Caenorhabditis elegans: one gene and its partners. The protein of the gene in region 3 purifies or fractionates together with the protein of the main gene of each other region. This does not show direct contact. Each region holds a gene or a part of one and is shown on either strand. Other genes may lie near its edges.

Region 1 (7,266 bases), on a different chromosome or scaffold from region 3:
CAGCTTGTCCTCTGACTTCTGCACTAGTCTCTTCCCATGAATAGCCAAGTACAAGAGGAGTTTCGTACTCTTTTCCTTTACTCTTCCCCTTCTTGTTTTCTTGACGTATTTTTCAACTTGATTATTACTTTGTTTATTTTTTAGAATGGTCGCGGAGATCGTCAGTGGACTCGAGTACTCAAAAAAGGTTCTTCACGATGTCGGACAGAAAATCGCAAAAACCCGTGAGCACCACCCAAATTTTCATGCAGTATTGGCAATTGTTCAGGTATGAAAGCTTACCACTGATAATAATTTTATTTCAAGCATTGCTATTAACTTAATAATATTTCTAAATTGAATATATGAAAATGAAAATCTCTGTCCAATCTGTGTTTTGAGTTCATGACGTACATAAGTGCATTGCATACTTACAAAACAGATTTTGAAAGTTTTGCAGAGCGTAATTTGTAGTTGTGGTGTACTTTTGAGATACCGGCTTTTATTTCGTAACAAGACAAATAATATCCGAGGGGATATCTGTTATACTGAATAACTCAAAGTCTCAAAATTTGCAGGTTGGAAATCGTTCAGACTCCAATGTGTACATTAATTCCAAACTGAAAAAAGCAAAGGAAATCGGAGCAGATGGAAAACTCATTAAGTTGCCAGACACCATCACTCAAGGAGATTTGAAGCGAGAGATTATGGCTCTTAATCATGACAACGAGATTGACGGAATTATCATTCAGGTTAATATAACGGATTAAGTTGTAATATTGAAATGTTAACTTATAACGGAAAAAAAACACATCTCAGTTAATTAAAAAAAAACATCGGAAGCTAAACAATAATAGCAAGTTATTAATTTCAGCTTCCACTGGACTGCAAGCACGAAATCGACGCAGACTCTGTTATCGACTTGATTGACCCATTGAAAGATGTCGATGGACTGACTCGTATCAATGCTGGACGTTTGGCTCGTGGAGAACTCCAGCGTACGATCTTTCCTTGCACTCCGTTTGGATGCTTGTACTTGGTTCAACAGGCAACTGGTGATGCCAACTTTGTGTCTGGAAAGGAGGTGGTTGTTTTGGGACGCTCGAAAATTGTCGGATCTCCAGCCGCTGCGCTTTTCTTGTGGCATCATGGAACTGTGACAATCTGCCACTCAAAAACTCCAAATCTCAAGGAGAAATGCCTGAGAGCAGATATTTTGATTGTGGCAATTGGGAGAAAACATTTCGTCAAAGGTAGATTATCAATAAACCTAAATTTGAGATAGTGCACAGTACTGGCCATACAGATATCAAAAGATTGATTTCAACTTCAGCAAACGTGGTTATTCCGAGCTGAGATCTGACTATAGTAAAATAGTGAAAGTTTTTATATCCTGATTTTTTGGAATTCATCATTGAACAAATTTCGCGTTGCTTTTTTCATAATTACGCCCAAATCCATTTAAAAGAAGAATCTTGGCAAAAGTTATTACGAGTAGACCTTTATATGAGCAGCACGGTATTTACTTGCTAACCTAAAAGTTTGTAAGTCATTAAATTATGCAAAATATCTATAATAGAAACCCCAATTTAAGAACTATCAATGTTTAGTATGCACCTGACTGTTTGCAACTTCTGAATTGTTTTGCATCAAATAGAAACAGACTCTCTGTTCTGATAAGTGTCAGCGTTTTTTACAAATAAAAGCATATATTTCAGCTGATTGGATCAAGCCTGGCGCATTCGTCATCGACTGTGGAATCAACGTTGGTGACGACCCAAACTCACGCAAAATTTACGGAGATGTTGACACAGAAGCCGCAAAGGAAGTCGCCGGATTCCTCACACCTGTCCCCGGAGGCGTTGGACCAATGACTGTTGCCATGCTCATCCGTAACACATTTGAGCAGGCTAAGAGACGACGTCTTGGACAAAAGGTAAAATAGCTTTCCTTTTGCGACACTAAGTTTGTGCAGGTTTTTTGATGTTCTGGCCTAAGCGTGGATAGTGCCAAACAGTTTGTTTTGCGTGTGGGGTTGATACTGATGCACCAGAGTTTATTTCAAAAATTACAAAAGACACCGATAGCACGTTATCGACTCAAAGAACTTCAAAAATTCATTGAGCGATAAACTCTACGAAACAAGCAAATTTCATGGACATTGTCTTCATTATTTACACCGAATGTAAAGTTGTTCTGCAACTATAGTGTGCCTCACACAAAATCGATTGAAAATATGTTAAAAATATTTGTAAGTGTTGTATTTCACAGAACCTACTTTTCAGGATGACGATGATGAGTGAACTTCAAGCACCCACTTCCACCACATCATTTGCGAATGAACTATTTATAATGTGCTTTTTGGTTTGACTTTTTACTCTTTAAAATTTGTTGTGACGTTCTGGAACTTGAAGTCCTCTTCATACCTTTTTTTAATCTAATCTTTTCAATTTGTATTTTCTTTTTATTGTCACTTTCCACCGAAATAAACAATGACCAAGGACACAATTAGCCCTGATTTGTAAAAAGACCATGGTCTCGCGATAAATGCACGTGGTTAGTTTAGATGTTTAGATGCACGAGAGCGACGCAACATCGAACAAATCAGAGGACGCGATCAATAAGGCAGACCCGGCAAATGCCCCCCGTGCATGTTTTCTGTGCGTCTCCTAATATCTGATACTGACTCGATTACTTGTTCTGCCCACTGCCTTATCAAGGTGTTTGTATTTAGTGGCCATCGCTCTGCAGTTGTTTGAATCACTCGCTTTTTATTTTCGTTGATTCATTGGTTTCTCTTGAATTGTGAAACATGGTAAGTAACACTAACGTTTTGGGATTTGATTTTTAAACGGAAAATGCAATTTTGAAAACTCCAAAAATAACAAAAATAATTTGTTCATGTTTTGAGCGTGAGCAAAAAAAACAGAACTTGTGTATAATAACTCCACACTGTAAAAATACATTTTCAAAAAAAAAAAGAGTCTGAAGATAAAAAAAAGAGTATTATCTGTTAAATTAATATGTACATAGAAATTAATCTTGAAAAAGCGTCTTTTTTGTTTATGTTGACTAATAAAAACTTAATATGTCCCAGTTTGATATGTTGTCATACATTTCTGGAAAACCTAAAATATGTTACTTTCTTCTGATAAACCTGTCCGTGCGTTTTATCGTTTTTTAAAGTCAAGTTGCGAATTGCAACATTATCACTATTGTCAATCTATTTTATTGATTGATAAGAATCAAAATATAAAAAAATAAGAATTTTTGATCGAAGTTCCCATAAACATTTAAGTCACAATTTCTATCTTTTCATCAACTTCAATTTTCAATTTTTCACGCTGCTTGCGCCGCAAATTTGACCGAATGGTAATTCGATTAAATGTTCCAAATCAAACATTATAATTTCGTTGAATTATTTTTTATTTCAGAGCACATGGAATGTTGAATACTTGAAGCCCACCCTGTTAACTCCTGTTCCATCGGATATTGCTATTTCGAGAGCTCAACCACCAAAGGACATCGAAAAGGCACTCAAGAATATTTAATTTAAAAAAAACTTATCTTCATTATTTTCAGGTAGCTGGGGAAATTGGAATCAAACAAGAAGAGCTTGACCTTTATGGACGCAAGAAGGCAAAGGTTTCTCTTGACATTTTGGATAGACTGAGCGAGGTTAAAAATGGAAAGTACGTTGTAGTTGCTGGTATTACGCCAACACCTCTTGGAGAAGGAAAATCCACAACGACAATCGGACTAGTTCAAGCTCTCGGAGCTCATCTTCACAAAAAGGTGTTCGCATGTGTACGCCAGCCATCGCAAGGACCAACGTTTGGAATTAAAGGAGGAGCTGCTGGAGGAGGATACTCTCAGGTTATTCCGATGGAGGAGTTCAATCTTCATTTGACAGGAGATATCCATGCAATTACTGCAGCCAATAATCTTCTTGCTGCTGCAATCGATGCTAGAATGTTCCATGAGTCAACCCAAGCAACTGATGCACTATTCAACAGATTGGCACCAAAGAACAAGAAGGGTTTGTTTGAAGTCCCTTTTTATGGCATAGAAATAAATACATTAATACTTACTTTTCAGGAGTCCGCCCACTTTCGGAGATCCAACTTCGTCGCCTCGACCGTCTTGGAATCCCACGTGTAGATGATGCTGAAAATCTTAGCGAAGAGCAGAGAGTTAGCTTTGCTCGTCTCAACATAGATCCTGCAACTATCACCTGGAACCGTGTGATGGATACGAACGATAGATTCTTAAGAAAGATTGAAATTGGAATGGGACCGAATGAGAAGGGACACACCCGAACTACTCAGTTTGATATTACTGTTGCTAGTGAGGTTAGTCAAAACAATTTCATGGCAATTTTAATTTATTAATTCTTATTTGTAGCTCATGGCGATTCTTGCGTTGACAACTTCTCTCGCTGATATGCAAGAAAGAATTGCACGAATTGTGATCGGATCCGACAAGGCTGGCAATCCAGTAACCGCTGATGATATTGGAGTAACTGGGGCTTTGACAGTTCTTATGCGAGACACCGTTCGCCCAAACCTGATGCAAACTTTGGAGGGTACTCCGGTTTTTGTCCATGCCGGACCCTTCGCTAATATTGCACATGGACAAAGCAGTATTCTTGCTGACAAGGTTGCTTTGAAACTTGCCGGACCCGACGGATTTGTGATCACTGAAGCTGGATTCGGAGCCGATATCGGAATGGAGAAGTTCTTCAACATCAAGTGCCGTTACTCGGGACTTCAGCCATCAGCAGTTGTCCTTGTAGCAACTGTAAGAGCTCTTAAGATGCATGGAGGTGGTCCATCTGTTGTAGCAGGAGCTCCACTGAAACACGAATACCTTGACGAAAACATTCCACTTGTTGAAGGAGGATGCGATTCAAATCTTAGAAAGCAGATTGAGAATGCAAACAAATTTGGAATCCCTGTTGTTGTCTGCGTGAACAAGTTCGCAACCGATACCGACAAGGAGTTGGAACTTGTTTGCTCCAAGGCCAAGGAATACGGAGCATTTGATGCAGTGGTTTCCGAACACTGGTCACAAGGAGGCGCTGGTGCGGTTGCTCTCGCCAATTCTCTGGTCAATGCTACAACTGGACATCCAAAGCAATTCAAATTCCTTTACAACCTGGATTTGTCATTGGAAGACAAGATCGCTACTATCGCCAAAGAAATCTATGGTGCTGATGGCATTGAACTATCTGACGAGGCCAAACAGAAATTGGAAAGATACACAAGACAGGGATTCTCGAAGTTGCCAATTTGTATGGCAAAAACTCATTTGTCCCTTTCATCAGACCCAACAAAGAAGGGTGCTCCAACTGGTAAGAAATCAAATTATTAGATACCGGTCAATTATAAACACTCTGTTGATGTTTTAATGTTTATAGTTTAGGTACTAAAAGTTCAACATTATGATTGGTTAATGAAACTCGATATTGACTATGCATAAACAATTTCCTACCAAACTATTCAAACAACTATTTTCAAATCAAGATAGAGTTTTTGTAGGTTTCACACTTCCGATTCGCGACGTGCGTGCATCCGTTGGAGCTGGATTCATTTACCCATTGGTTGGTGAAATGACCACAATGCCAGGACTCAACACTCGTCCGTGCTTCTACGACATCACCATTGACCCAGTCACTGAGATCATTGATGGGCTATTCTAAACAATGCTTTCATACTTCTTTCTACAGATTATTTGTGATATGCGTAACATTGTGATTTTATATAAGAATTTAATACTGAAATTGTAAATAAAAAGAGTATATAAGAGCATATTTTTTGAAGACCAATAAAATTGAATTAAAAAAAATATTTCTGTCTGCCAGGACATATTTGCCGAAAACCTGTTATTTCAGAAAAAACCCGGTTTTTCCTGTTGTCACGTCATCATATGATCATAGCAGTTGATTGGCTATGAAATTGAAATTTGCTGGATTCAATTACTTTTTCATCAGCTCAACACAATATCTGTGTATCATAACTATGATACATTTTTCCAAAAATTGGTTATTCAGTATTTCTACTTAAAAACGGGATATAATAGTTTGGGTAGTAATGCTTTTTTTTTAATAATTTTTTTTGCAGTTTGTATCAAGACCATGCATATTATTTTTGACATGGAAATTGCATTGTTGTTTTTATATCTTCCTATCAAAAAAGACAATGCAAAACTTTTTTACAGATACTTATTTGTTGAAAATCGTAGCAAGTAAGTTAGCTCGAAAATATTTGAAAAAGGGGATTTAGTATTGAAAAACTTAGATTTTTAGTTTTTCTGGCAATTTCCTTTGACATTTTTTAAAAGCTTTTAATTGAGATGTCTGTTGCTTCATTGAAGATTAAAAAAACAAGTATAAAATCTTCTAATGCACTTTTACTTTTTCTTCCTTCGTGTAGCCTGACATGTTTGTTTCTTTAAATGCTGAAATTTATGATTCTGAAAAAAATTATTTGTTGAAATCATTTCATACAAAGTGGCACAGCAGGAGTAAAAATAAGAATAAAAATAAAGTACATGAAATAATAGCTGAAAAGTTTTTGGCAAGAAACAGTTGTAGCAATGCTACAGGATTTAATAGGGGAAATGGGAAGTGGTAGACTGACAGAACAATTGTCAAACAAGTATAAATCATTTTTGGAATTGTGAATGAAGCAAAGAAATTGAACATTTAAGATATACCAGATGAAATGTATTATTTGGGTTTCTCATAATATGACATCCTCCTTTATACAATTAAAGTGTTATTATTGGCTTATTGCAGTTACAAGAGTTTGAACAAGTTTTTCTTGGCTTAATCGGAATAAATTAATTTGTTGATTGGCCAGAAATCAAGAAAACTAGTCCATGTGCAATCTTTTTTGTGTGGTAATGAAAGAAGGTTGAGCGATTTGAATGTGAGCTTTTGTGATTCATGGTGCATAGTTGAATGATTTGAGTGATGTTTGTGATGAGTTGTGTGTTTCTTAGTATTGATGTGTGGTACCACTTTTTTAAATGTCCCTGGGTATTCTGTGATTGCATAGCAGGATCTCTAAAAAGCATGTTTCTTTTTGTCTATTTCAAACTGCAAAACATACACCCAAGGGAAAACAACCATAGTAACTTATGGTTATCGTAAACATGATAAGTCCATTTATTTCGTTGAACTTTTTGCGGTAGACAACGAAATCTTTACCTCTGACAACAACAGGATACTTCTCCTTTGCTGAAAAAAAAAACAAAATTATACAAATTTAAAATATAGACTCA
Region 2 (4,758 bases), on a different chromosome or scaffold from region 3:
CAAATTTTCTGAGCACACGGTCTTGGATGGGTTAAATTTTTTTCAAAAAATTGTAGGCATCATTTTTCGTAAAAAAGGCATTCCAAATTAAAACAAAAAATTATTTAAAAAATTTCGCCGGAAAAATCAATTTTTTTTATAAAATAGTTTTAGGGCTATGTATATGTAATTGTTTCGAAACTTTTTTAGCGGGAAATTCACAATAAAAAAAACATTATTTTTCACGATGAAGTTTTGGATGGGATTCGAATTTTAATCTAAAAATTTTTTTCTAGAAACTTTTACAACTTCTGGAGCTTTTTGGAAAATTTCTGAAAATTTTGAAATTTTTAGAATGCTCCAAATACTTACTCACATATATATATTTTTTCAGGCGCCCCATTTGGTCAAGTACCTTACCTGACCGTTGATGGATTTGATATCCCACAATCTGCTGCAATAATCCGCTACCTTGCCAACAAATTCGGATATGCTGGAAAAACCCCAGAAGAGCAGGTTTGGGCAGATGCCATCGTTGATCAGTTCAAGGATTTCATGGGATCATTCCGCGAACGTATCATGGCACATTTCGCTGGAAAATCTCAGGAAGAAATTGCAAAGATCACTTCTGAAGTAGTGATTCCAGCTAGAGATTCGTACTTTAAGATTCTCAATGGGCTTCTTGAAAAGAGCAAGTCAGGATTCCTAGTCGGCGACAGTATCACCTTCGCGGACATTGTCATCTCTGAGAATATTACTACTTTGGAGAAAAATCAATTGTTTGTTGCTTCGGAGCAACCAAACTTGGCTGCTCTTCGAGAGAAGGTCTATGCAATTCCAGCTATCAGGAAGTGGGTAGAGGCTCGTCCAGATACTCAGTACTAAATCGAAAATTTTCTTGAAATTTTGTTCAATGAAGTAATATAATTACAAATTCGAATAAATTTTTAAAATGCACCACTATTTGCATTCTTATTTGCAATTTTCCTCTCAATCGCAGCTGCCTTCTTCCTCTAAAACCCGCACTCAACATCATTCTCAACAACACCGTTTCTGCCAAGTGCACGCGTGGCCTGCTGGATAACGAGTTGGTCTCTCGTTCCGACTGCCACAGGTTCGTGCCCTCTCACCGCCTCTCTACCAAACACTTGCAAGTTCTGTTTATTGCAAGTGCATGGAAGAGGCGAATAGAAAACGGAATGATGTCCACTCCTTCGATTATCGTTCATTGGATTGCGGGCACTTTACCTCGTTCGACATTTTTTATTTTAACTTAAAGTAGAATTTTGGATTTTATTGACTCTCCGTCCGAATTTTTATTGACTCTTCTCCCACCTCCCCCCCCCCCCCCCCATCCATTTCTTGGTTTTTGGTTTATTGATCTCCACGACAGTTTGATAACACTTTGCGGAGGAATTTTTCCCAATCATTTTGCTTGCAGAATCACACAAGAAAACTGTCTGGTTGTGGTTTTCATTTAACTAAAATGCCATCCTACAAGCTGACCTATTTTAACGTGCGTGGATATGGAGAACCAGCTCGTATTCTGTTCCATCTTGCCGATGTTCCATTTGAAGATTTCCGAATGACCATTGGAGATGGAACATGGGAAAATCTCAAAGCCAGTAAGTAATAGCGACCTTGAAACGCCATATTAAAATTTAAAAAAAACTGAAATAAAGTAGCCAAGACAGAAATTGAACATTATTTTTTGTTTCTATTTAGAAACTCCATTTGGACAAGCCCCAGTCTTATCAGTTGATGGATTTGAAATTCCACAATCCGCTGCAATCAACCGCTACCTTGCCAAGCAATTCGGATATGCTGGAAAAACCCCGGAGGAGCAAGCCTGGACTGATGCTATCGTCGATCAATACAAGGATTTTATGGTATCAATCAAAGAAGTGGGAAAAGCAAGCGCTGCTGGAAAGTCTGCCGAGGAGGTCGGGAAGATCATCCAGTCAGATCTCGTTCCGGCAAGAGATGCATTCTTTGTGATAATCAACAAGATCCTTGAGAAGAGCAAGTCCGGATTTTTAGTTGGAGATGGTCTAACCATCGCAGATATTGTGATTGTGGAATGCATCACAACTTTGGACAAACATCAGCTCTTCACTGCATCGGAGCAACCAAAATTGGTCGCGCTTCGAGAGAAGGTATATGCGATTCCAGCAATAAAGAAATGGGTTGAGATTCGTCCAGATACCCTGAACTAGGTTTGTTTTAAATGTGCTGATATATTAATTCAATAAATCGTTATGTTATGTTCATGTAATCTCATTTTATTTTCAAATACGTTAATTCTGAACGTGTTAATTCTATTTTTAACTTTATTTTTCTATCTAGATTGAAGCTAAACTCAGTTCTGTTCAATTTTACAGTTAAAAAAATTTTATGGTCCAGGATACATTTTTTAAAATTGTACAATTGACCTTAAATTGTTATTTTTCTCTGAAATACTTTGTAAAAATTAATCATGGTTTGACTTTTTCTGTCAAATATTTGATAAGACTATGCGGAAAGACTGCATTTTTCCAATGCTATTTCGAAAAATTGTTTGATATCGGAATCACACTATCACACATACCTATATTTAAAACAGACAGATCACTATGCCTTCCTACAAACTCACCTATTTCAACGCTCGTGGCTACGGAGAAGCTGCTCGTATTCTCTTCCATCTTGCCGATGTTCCATTTGAGGATTTCCGTATGACCCATGGAGATGGAACATGGGAAAAGCTGAAAGAAAGTAGGTCATTTATATGTGGCAAACACTAAACTCAAAGTAAGTATTTCAGAAACTCCACTCGGACAAGTCCCGGTCCTATCCGTCGATGGATTTGAAATTCCACAATCTGCTGCAATCATCCGCTATCTTGCCAATAAATTTGGATATGCTGGAAAAACCCCGGAAGAGCAAGCTTGGGCAGATGCCATCGTTGACCAATTCAAGGATTTCATGGGATCCTTCAGAGAAGTCGGAAAAGCACATGCCGCTGGAAAGCCAGCTGAGGAGATTGCAAAGATCATGCAATCAGATGTCGTTCCGGCTAGAGATGCATTCTTCGTAATCATCAATGGGATCCTGGAGAAGAGCAAGTCAGGATTCTTGGTTGGAGATGGGCTCACTTTTGCCGATATTGTAGTTGTGGAGTGCATCACAACTTTGGACAAAAATCAGTTATTCACTCCAGCGGGAGAGCCAAAGTTGGTTGCTCTTCGGGAGAAGGTCTATGCGATTCCAGCTATCAAGAAGTGGGTCGAGATTCGCCCAGATACTCAGTACTAAAGTTTGTTGTAAATTGTTTGATAATTGAATACAATAAATAGTTTTAATATCTCCTTGTAAAAATTCAAATTATTGTGGGAATATAAATTCACTAGTGTAATTTAATTTTCTAAAAATTTCATAGTTCTGTTCGCTACAGTAACAGTGCTGCTTGAGTACCGAAGATAATTCTCAAGTGCTTCGAACCACTCTTTTCATTTATTTCATACTCATATGTAACCTAAAACATAGAGCTGTGTACTGTTTTACTATTGAGTACGAAAATTTTATTTCAAACATGTTATCAAACAATCAATGGAGATGTGAACAACCCGTATTAGATGATAATACAATCAATGGAAAAGAAAATACCCTGGGTTTTCAAAAAAACATACAAACTACAACAAAACGCTCTATGAAGCCAATTCCATCGAATGCGGAGTAGGAGCAACTGCACGTTTCCGTCGGAATAAGAGCTTAATGTCATGCGTTAAAATGAATATTACTGGCAACAGAATGAGAGCATGAAGCATTCCAAGTATACCGACCAGGATCACAGTCTTCCAGAATACTGCTACAACATACGCACGTACAAACATCAATGGGAACATGCCAAGAATCGTGGAGAGCCCGGACTGCATTACTGGCCAGGCGACTCCGCGGAAGGTGCTTAGAAGACGGTCACGAGTCTCGGCGTAGTTATGTGATCTCCAGAGTTGCTCCTAGAAAAATATGAAGTTGGTTTGAAAATGGGGTACGGTTGTTTGGTATGGTGGATGTAGTGTGAAGTATGTAAACATCGTGTGGGGCTGTCCCATTACGGTTTGATCTACAAAAAAAATGCGGGGATATTTCGCCAAGAGAAATGTGTTGAAAATCAGTTGAAATCTCTGCGTCTCAACTCCCGCATTTTTTGTAGATCTACGTATTTCAAACCGAAATGGGACTCTCTGACACCACGTGATGGTACAATAGTTTAAAAATAAGATCATAGATTAGGGTACTGTAGGGTTAATGCATGTTTCAATTTTATAGTATAGTATTTGACTAGAATGCCAGTACAGTAAGGGGTACTGTAGCTCGGGCGTCTTAATAAGTGGCTTAGCTTGATGGGATTACTGTAGAGCTAATTTAAGTCAGCCACACACAACTTTTAGTGTTGTGATTCTTTATGAAACGGAGATTCCTCGTAGAAACGGAATCCCAGGTTACTGTATTTTAGACTACTGTAGATTAAGTTTTTTGAAACTATTTTTTTACAGAACTACAGTGCTCCCACAGTACCACAGAAGAACTCCTACACTACTCCTACAGTGCCCCTACAGTAGTCATACAGTACTACTATAGTACCACTACGATACCCTCACACTAAGCTGAAAAATCCTTACATCCTCATGCACATGAGCAAAGTAGTGATAGCAAACATGAGCCGAATAGTCCACGGAAAATCCAATTGACATTAGCATAGATATCAGTGAAACTGCATCGAGATTCACATTCCATAAATGG
Region 3 (6,347 bases):
GAAAAGTGGAATGGTGGCTGCTGAATCAATTTTCGAGGATATTCAACAAAAGGGAGAGGATGTGCAAACGATTGATCCAGCTACATATGACAAGAATATTCGTGATACTTATGTTGTTAAAGAGCTCAAAGCAACCAGAAATATTCGTCCATCATTCAATACTTCATTGGGATACATTGGAGGACTGATCTATTCTGGAATATTCTATGTTTTCGGTCGAGGAATTGAACCATGGACTCTTGGACACGGAAAGAAGGATAATGAGAAGCTCATTCCAGTGAAGGATGCAAAAGAAATCGATTACCCAAAACCAGATGGAAAGCTAACTTTTGATCTTCTTACATCTGTATCTCTTACTGGAACCAACCATACAGAAGATCAACCTGCTCATTTGACATTGAAAAATGATCAAGTTCCACTTGATGTGAATTTGGCAGTATATGGTGGCCCGGAGGCTAGATTCTGTCCAGCTGGTGAGATTTTAATACAAATTTGACTTTTAAAAACACATAAATAACTTTTTTTTCCAGGAGTCTATGAATTCGTCCCATCCGAAGCTGATGAATCAAAGAAGCGTCTCCAAATCAATGCTCAAAATTGCATTCACTGCAAGACATGCGACATCAAGGATCCTCAACAAAACATTAACTGGGTTACACCAGAAGGAGGTGGTGGCCCAAAATACGAGGGAATGTGAATCCTTTAGCTTCTCGTTTATGTTTGTGTATAATTTTTGTACTTATTTATTCGCCACTATCGACTCGTAGATTATGTATTTCTGTTCTTCAACGGTTTCTCTCAATTTTCTCTCATTTTCGTGTTCCCCATCTTTTGTAATGCCATTACATTTTTATCCAAACCAAATGAATAGATTTCTGATTAGTGTGTACTTGAACGGAAAAGCTTCAATATTGCCATAATTGTGGTACATATATACATTCATCCCACTACAGTATCCTTTTCTGAAAAGATTGCAAAGTGTTGTATAGAAGAAGAGACGCAGATAATCAAACAAGACGTCTGCGCTCGTGTATGTTTGTCTCTGGACAGACATACACACAGAAACACCGACAATGAAGATATGAAGACACACAGACACACAGAAAGCCGTCATCGATTCTCCTGTTTTCTTTGAGCCTTATTTATATTTTTCTTATTACTCCGACGCGTAATTTTGAGATTTTTGCGCCAAAAACGGTACCCAGTCTCGACATGATATTTTTTTTAATGTGATAATTTCAAAACGGTGCACACCTTTGGAGAGTACTTTAATTACAAACTTTTGTAGTTGCGGAATGTTCATCGATTTTCCATCGTATTCCGATGAAAAACATCCTTAACTATTGAAAACTCAAAAAAAAACACGAATTTTAACAGAACGTAAGAAAAGTATGAAAAATCATGAACGGTTCCACACCAACTAGATTAAAAAATTACAGTACTCCTTGAAGGCGCACAAGTTTTTCTCATTTAACTAAAACATGTCGTGTCGAGAATCGGCACCGTATTCTTGGCGCAGGAGTCGCAAAACCTCTGTCTGTGTATTTAGTAATGTAGATTTTCAAGTTTTCTGAAAAATTAATGTATATTTGTAAGTTCAGAATGAGTAGAAAAGATTGCAAAAATATTGTCGAAGACGAAGAAGAAGATGAGAAGAGTAATGGGAATAAATCTGAAAGTCCACAAAATGCTGGCCTAGAAGAAACAATTCAGAATTTTATAGCAACATTTTTACCTGGTTCAAGTGATGAGTAAGAGTAGTAAATAGCATATTAAAATTTTTTTTAAGTTTCAGACCTCATATTACGGATATTCCAAGTTCATCCGAACCTCAAGAAGGATCTAGAGAATGCAGACTCTCCAAAGAAGCACATCGGAAACGTCTGAGAAGAGCTCGTGAAACATCAGAGGAGACTCACACACGTCTTGCCAAGGCTGCAGACTATAAAAGGAAGAGATGCTCAGAAGAGACAGAAGAAGAATATAGAGAACGATTGAAAAGGCAAGCTGAAAGAAAAAAAATGGAAAGAATGCAAGAGTCGGAAGATCAGGCAAATAATCGAAGAATAAAGGCTGCAGAGCATCGACGCCAGTATCTGCAAAGGGAGTCATTCGAAAAAGCTCAGGAAAGAAGGAATAAGGATGCGGAACGGAGAAGGAAGAGTCTCCTGGCTGAAACTCCAGAAGAAGCTGAATTGCGTAGAGCCAAGAATGCTCAGAGACGTCGGGATGCTATTAAGAATGAAACACCAGAGGAAGCTGAAAATCGGCGACAGCGTGATGCAGCAAGAAGACGGCAATATTTGCAGACGGAGACTTCAGAGCAAAAATCAGCTAGGAAAATCCAAGATGCTGCACGAAAACGTCAAAATCGAATTTTGAAGCAAGCAGGGCAAAGTGAAGAATCACTTGCAGTCATCACGGGATCATTGAGCGATGGAACTCTTTCGGGTCTATAAAAATTAATTGAAAATTTTTTTAATAAATAAGTAGTTTGTTGTTTGACCTTTTGCTTTTAAAACCGATAAAATCGTATTAATTTTTTGAATCAACGGTCCGCTCATTTCCACCTATCAGTCTTTAAATTCTGTTGAATCGCAATAAAAACGGCAAGTTTCATCTCTTGTTTGCAACAAAACAGAGAAACTGATAAGACTGATAACGATCAGTGGTCTGATCGATAGTCGATTTCTGTTTTAACACATTTATTCTGAAGTTCTAGAATTTTATTTGTTATTTTAATATTTTCAGGCACAAAATGTTTGCAAGGATAGTGAGCAGAAGAGCAGCAACTGGATTATTTGCCGGAGCCAGCTCCCAGGTTTGTGTGTGCACTTTCGCGTGGGATCAGTTGTAAAATACGCATGGCGCGAATATTTGAATTTGTAAAAATTTTGCCCGCTCAAAGTTGCAATTTGCTTTTCTCTCCCCATTTTCATTCCCAAAACGGCACCGTCCATGGTTCACTCGTTGTTTCTGATCAGAAAGTGATCTTCATCATAATATCTTGCCATTTTCCGCCTTTCACTCAGTTATCTCGGGCTTGTCTCCGACTTGTCCAGCAATAGAAATATCGTTGACATTGACCCACAGGCGCCGCTTTTGTTGCTTTGATAACAACTTGGTAACTGATAAACTCTATTCACTTCTTTATTTTTATTTTTAATGATCATCTCTGTGATGTTGCATTGATAATCGTAGTTCTCTATTTTCTCCGCGTATATTTTTACCATAAGCTGTGAAAATGTCTTGCTCCGTTGTTTCTTTTTGCAGTTCTGAATAACACATGTACACGCTGCAGTATCGTTTGCACTTGTTTTAAATGGTTTCTTTGCATAGTTTTCTGTAGCAATGTTTTGTGTTTGCATTTGAAAGTTATCTGCATTATATTTTTGTTATTAGAGACCACTTTTTTGTTTTTATTACTAAGTTAGTGTACACTTGTTAAAACCACGCTCGAATACCTCTTTAATTACAATTTCTAATGAGTAACTTTTGACTTATCAGTTTTGATCTACGATCCGGGATGCGCCCAATCTCGAAAACTTCCCGGTTCAGATATCATCATAGCCTACCGCGAATCCAGTTTTATTCTTATTTTCTCCACACTTTCCCATGCATATACGTGTTGCCAACGCGTCAGCTTTTGTGTTGAATATGTTCCCGATTTTTTCGCTTCTTTGCTTAATTTAATTTGGTTTTACAGTGTAAAATGGCTGATCGTCAAGTGCACACACCATTGGCTAAAGTTCAGCGCCACAAGTACACCAACAACGAGAACATTTTGGTGGACCATGTTGAGAAAGTTGATCCAGAAGTTTTCGATATCATGAAAAATGTAAGACTTAATGTTTCTCAAATCTTAGTCATTTGTTTTTTTCAGGAGAAGAAGCGGCAGCGTCGTGGACTTGAGCTCATCGCTTCCGAGAACTTCACAAGCAAGGCTGTTATGGATGCTCTTGGCTCGGCAATGTGCAACAAATACAGTGAAGGATACCCTGGAGCTCGGTATTACGGAGGAAATGAGTTCATCGATCAGATGGAGCTCCTTTGCCAGAAGAGAGCTCTTGAGGTATTCGGACTTGATCCAGCCAAGTGGGGAGTCAATGTGCAGCCATTGTCCGGATCACCAGCCAATTTCGCAGTCTACACTGCCATCGTTGGATCCAATGGACGCATTATGGGCCTCGATCTTCCAGATGGAGGTCATTTGACTCATGGGTAAGGTTATCTAGATTAGACTCGAATGAATTATACATTTAATTTCAGATTCTTCACCCCAGCTCGCAAAGTCTCTGCGACTTCTGAATTCTTCCAGTCTCTTCCATACAAGGTTGATCCAACAACTGGATTGATCGACTATGACAAGCTTGAGCAGAATGCAATGCTTTTCCGTCCAAAAGCCATCATTGCCGGAGTTTCCTGCTACGCTCGTCATCTCGATTATGAACGTTTCCGTAAGATTGCCACAAAGGCTGGAGCCTATTTGATGTCTGATATGGCTCACATCTCCGGACTTGTTGCCGCTGGACTTATCCCATCACCATTCGAGTATTCTGATGTTGTAACCACAACGACGCACAAGTCGCTCAGAGGACCACGTGGAGCTTTGATCTTCTACAGAAAGGGTGTCCGATCTACCAACGCAAAGGGAGTTGACACTTTGTATGATTTGGAGGAGAAGATCAACTCGGCCGTGTTCCCAGGACTTCAAGGTGGACCACACAATCACACTATTGCTGGAATTGCCGTTGCTTTGAGACAATGCCTTTCTGAAGATTTTGTTCAGTACGGAGAGCAAGTGTTGAAGAATGCCAAAACCTTGGCCGAGAGAATGAAGAAGCATGGATATGCTTTGGCAACCGGAGGAACCGACAATCATTTGTTGCTTGTTGACTTGCGCCCAATCGGAGTTGAAGGAGCTCGTGCTGAGCATGTGCTTGATCTCGCTCATATTGCTTGCAACAAGAATACGTGCCCAGGAGACGTTTCTGCTTTGAGACCAGGAGGCATTCGTCTCGGAACTCCAGCTCTCACCTCCCGTGGATTCCAGGAGCAAGATTTCGAGAAAGTCGGAGATTTCATTCATGAGGGTATGTTTTTTCAACTGTAATCTTCAACATTAATCTAAAATATTGATTTCAGGTGTTCAAATCGCAAAGAAGTACAATGCTGAGGCTGGAAAGACATTGAAAGACTTCAAATCATTCACTGAGACCAATGAACCATTCAAGAAAGACGTCGCTGATCTCGCCAAACGTGTTGAGGAGTTCTCCACGAAGTTCGAGATTCCAGGAAACGAAACTTTCTAATTTTAATCATCATCGTCATTATCAACATTGCATTTGTATTTATAAAAACATTCCCGCCATTTTATCACTTTCATGTTTGAATTTTAAACAGGAGAAATAAATATTGATCTTTTCAAATTTAATTGTTTTTTTATATTTAGAAAGCAATTGAGATTATCTACGGCATTTGGCATAAGCCGTATGCTGAATTTTCTGAATGCCGCACACATCTGGACCCTTCTACAGTTCTCTCACAGTGATGTTTGGGGTAGCTGTTTAATGCAACGTTCACCGACTTTTTTCCATTTGTGTTTAATTCAAATCAGACCAGAACTTTATTTAACAAAACAAGCTACCGAAAGAAATAAATAAAACCAGAGCCAACAAACGGGGAAATGATGGAAGAATAATAAGAATATAAAAGAACAGGCAAACTAGCATGCAAACTGCAAGTCCGAAATCTTGATCTTGCTACTTCCTGGGAATGCCTTCTTCATCTCATTGAGTTTTGATGGATGAACAGCAATTGAACGGACAAAGCACTTCTCATCGAAAAGACGAGCCAGTGGTGGTCCGCCGATCTTAACCATCTCTTCCGATGTCAGATTCCAGATACGGCGACACAGATCACTGAAATCGCGGAAGTTGATACTTTCCTAGTCTTAGAATGTTTTCAGTAAACTCACATATTGAATGGATGGGGAGTTTGACGGAAATTATTGAGAATGCTGATCTTTGCAGCTCCACTCACAGTTCCTTCACGCTTCATCATCTCGAACACAGTTGATCTCTTTGCTCCCTCAAATTCTGCTTTGGAGATTTCACCGCTCTCGACGATTTTGCGCTGAAATTTAAAGTTATTTTAACGAAACTTATTTTTTTCTACTTACAATAATATCTCTGGTTCTCTCATAAGCCACTGCTGGCTGAGCGCATCTGTAGAGACTCAAAGTGATTTGCTTCCGATCGGGTTTCACAAATACGTTAGCTCCATAGGCAAGTCCATCTCCACGAATTGCACGCCACAATGGACCTTCACACTGAGAGAGATATTGT

What was found. The genes of interacting proteins can lie anywhere in the genome.
Region 1: the proteins of mel-32 (region 3) and K07E3.4 fractionate together in Caenorhabditis elegans (co-fractionation; one large-scale study listed by BioGRID). This does not show direct contact.
Region 2: the proteins of mel-32 (region 3) and gst-26 fractionate together in Caenorhabditis elegans (co-fractionation; one large-scale study listed by BioGRID). This does not show direct contact.

What each region holds. Positions count from the first base shown.
Region 1 is NC_003284.9:8,079,429-8,086,694, reverse strand, and holds K07E3.4 (formate--tetrahydrofolate ligase), read left to right. Parts: upstream 1-2,676; 5' UTR 2,677-2,791; coding exon 2,792-2,794; intron 2,795-3,292; exon of another isoform or gene 3,293-3,348; coding exon of another isoform or gene 3,349-3,351; intron 3,352-3,413; coding exon 3,414-3,512; intron 3,513-3,561; coding exon 3,562-4,018; intron 4,019-4,077; coding exon 4,078-4,331; intron 4,332-4,383; coding exon 4,384-5,332; intron 5,333-5,519; coding exon 5,520-5,680; 3' UTR 5,681-5,826; downstream 5,827-7,266. Other genes in the region: dao-3 (C-1-tetrahydrofolate synthase, cytoplasmic), read left to right, coding at 146-268, 558-731, 854-1,232, 1,698-1,915, 2,265-2,282; C46F2.1 (uncharacterized protein), read right to left, coding at 6,809-7,048, 7,095-7,222.
Region 2 is NC_003280.10:15,162,377-15,167,134, reverse strand, and holds gst-26 (glutathione transferase), read left to right. Parts: upstream 1-2,581; 5' UTR 2,582-2,591; coding exon 2,592-2,730; intron 2,731-2,779; coding exon 2,780-3,270; 3' UTR 3,271-3,318; downstream 3,319-4,758. Other genes in the region: gst-28 (glutathione transferase), read left to right, coding at 374-864; gst-27 (glutathione transferase), read left to right, coding at 1,466-1,604, 1,705-2,195; ptr-20 (SSD domain-containing protein), read right to left, coding at 3,663-3,971, 4,638-4,758.
Region 3 is NC_003281.10:6,439,227-6,445,573, reverse strand, and holds mel-32 (Serine hydroxymethyltransferase), read left to right. Parts: upstream 1-2,758; coding exon 2,759-2,821; intron 2,822-3,706; coding exon 3,707-3,838; intron 3,839-3,883; coding exon 3,884-4,221; intron 4,222-4,269; coding exon 4,270-5,093; intron 5,094-5,145; coding exon 5,146-5,312; downstream 5,313-6,347. Other genes in the region: let-721 (Electron transfer flavoprotein-ubiquinone oxidoreductase, mitochondrial), read left to right, coding at 1-473, 531-697; C05D11.13 (Vicilin-like seed storage protein At2g18540), read left to right, coding at 1,603-1,751, 1,790-2,459; C05D11.1 (uncharacterized protein), read right to left, coding at 5,726-5,921, 5,978-6,135, 6,182-6,347. UniProt on the Caenorhabditis elegans protein: Interconversion of serine and glycine.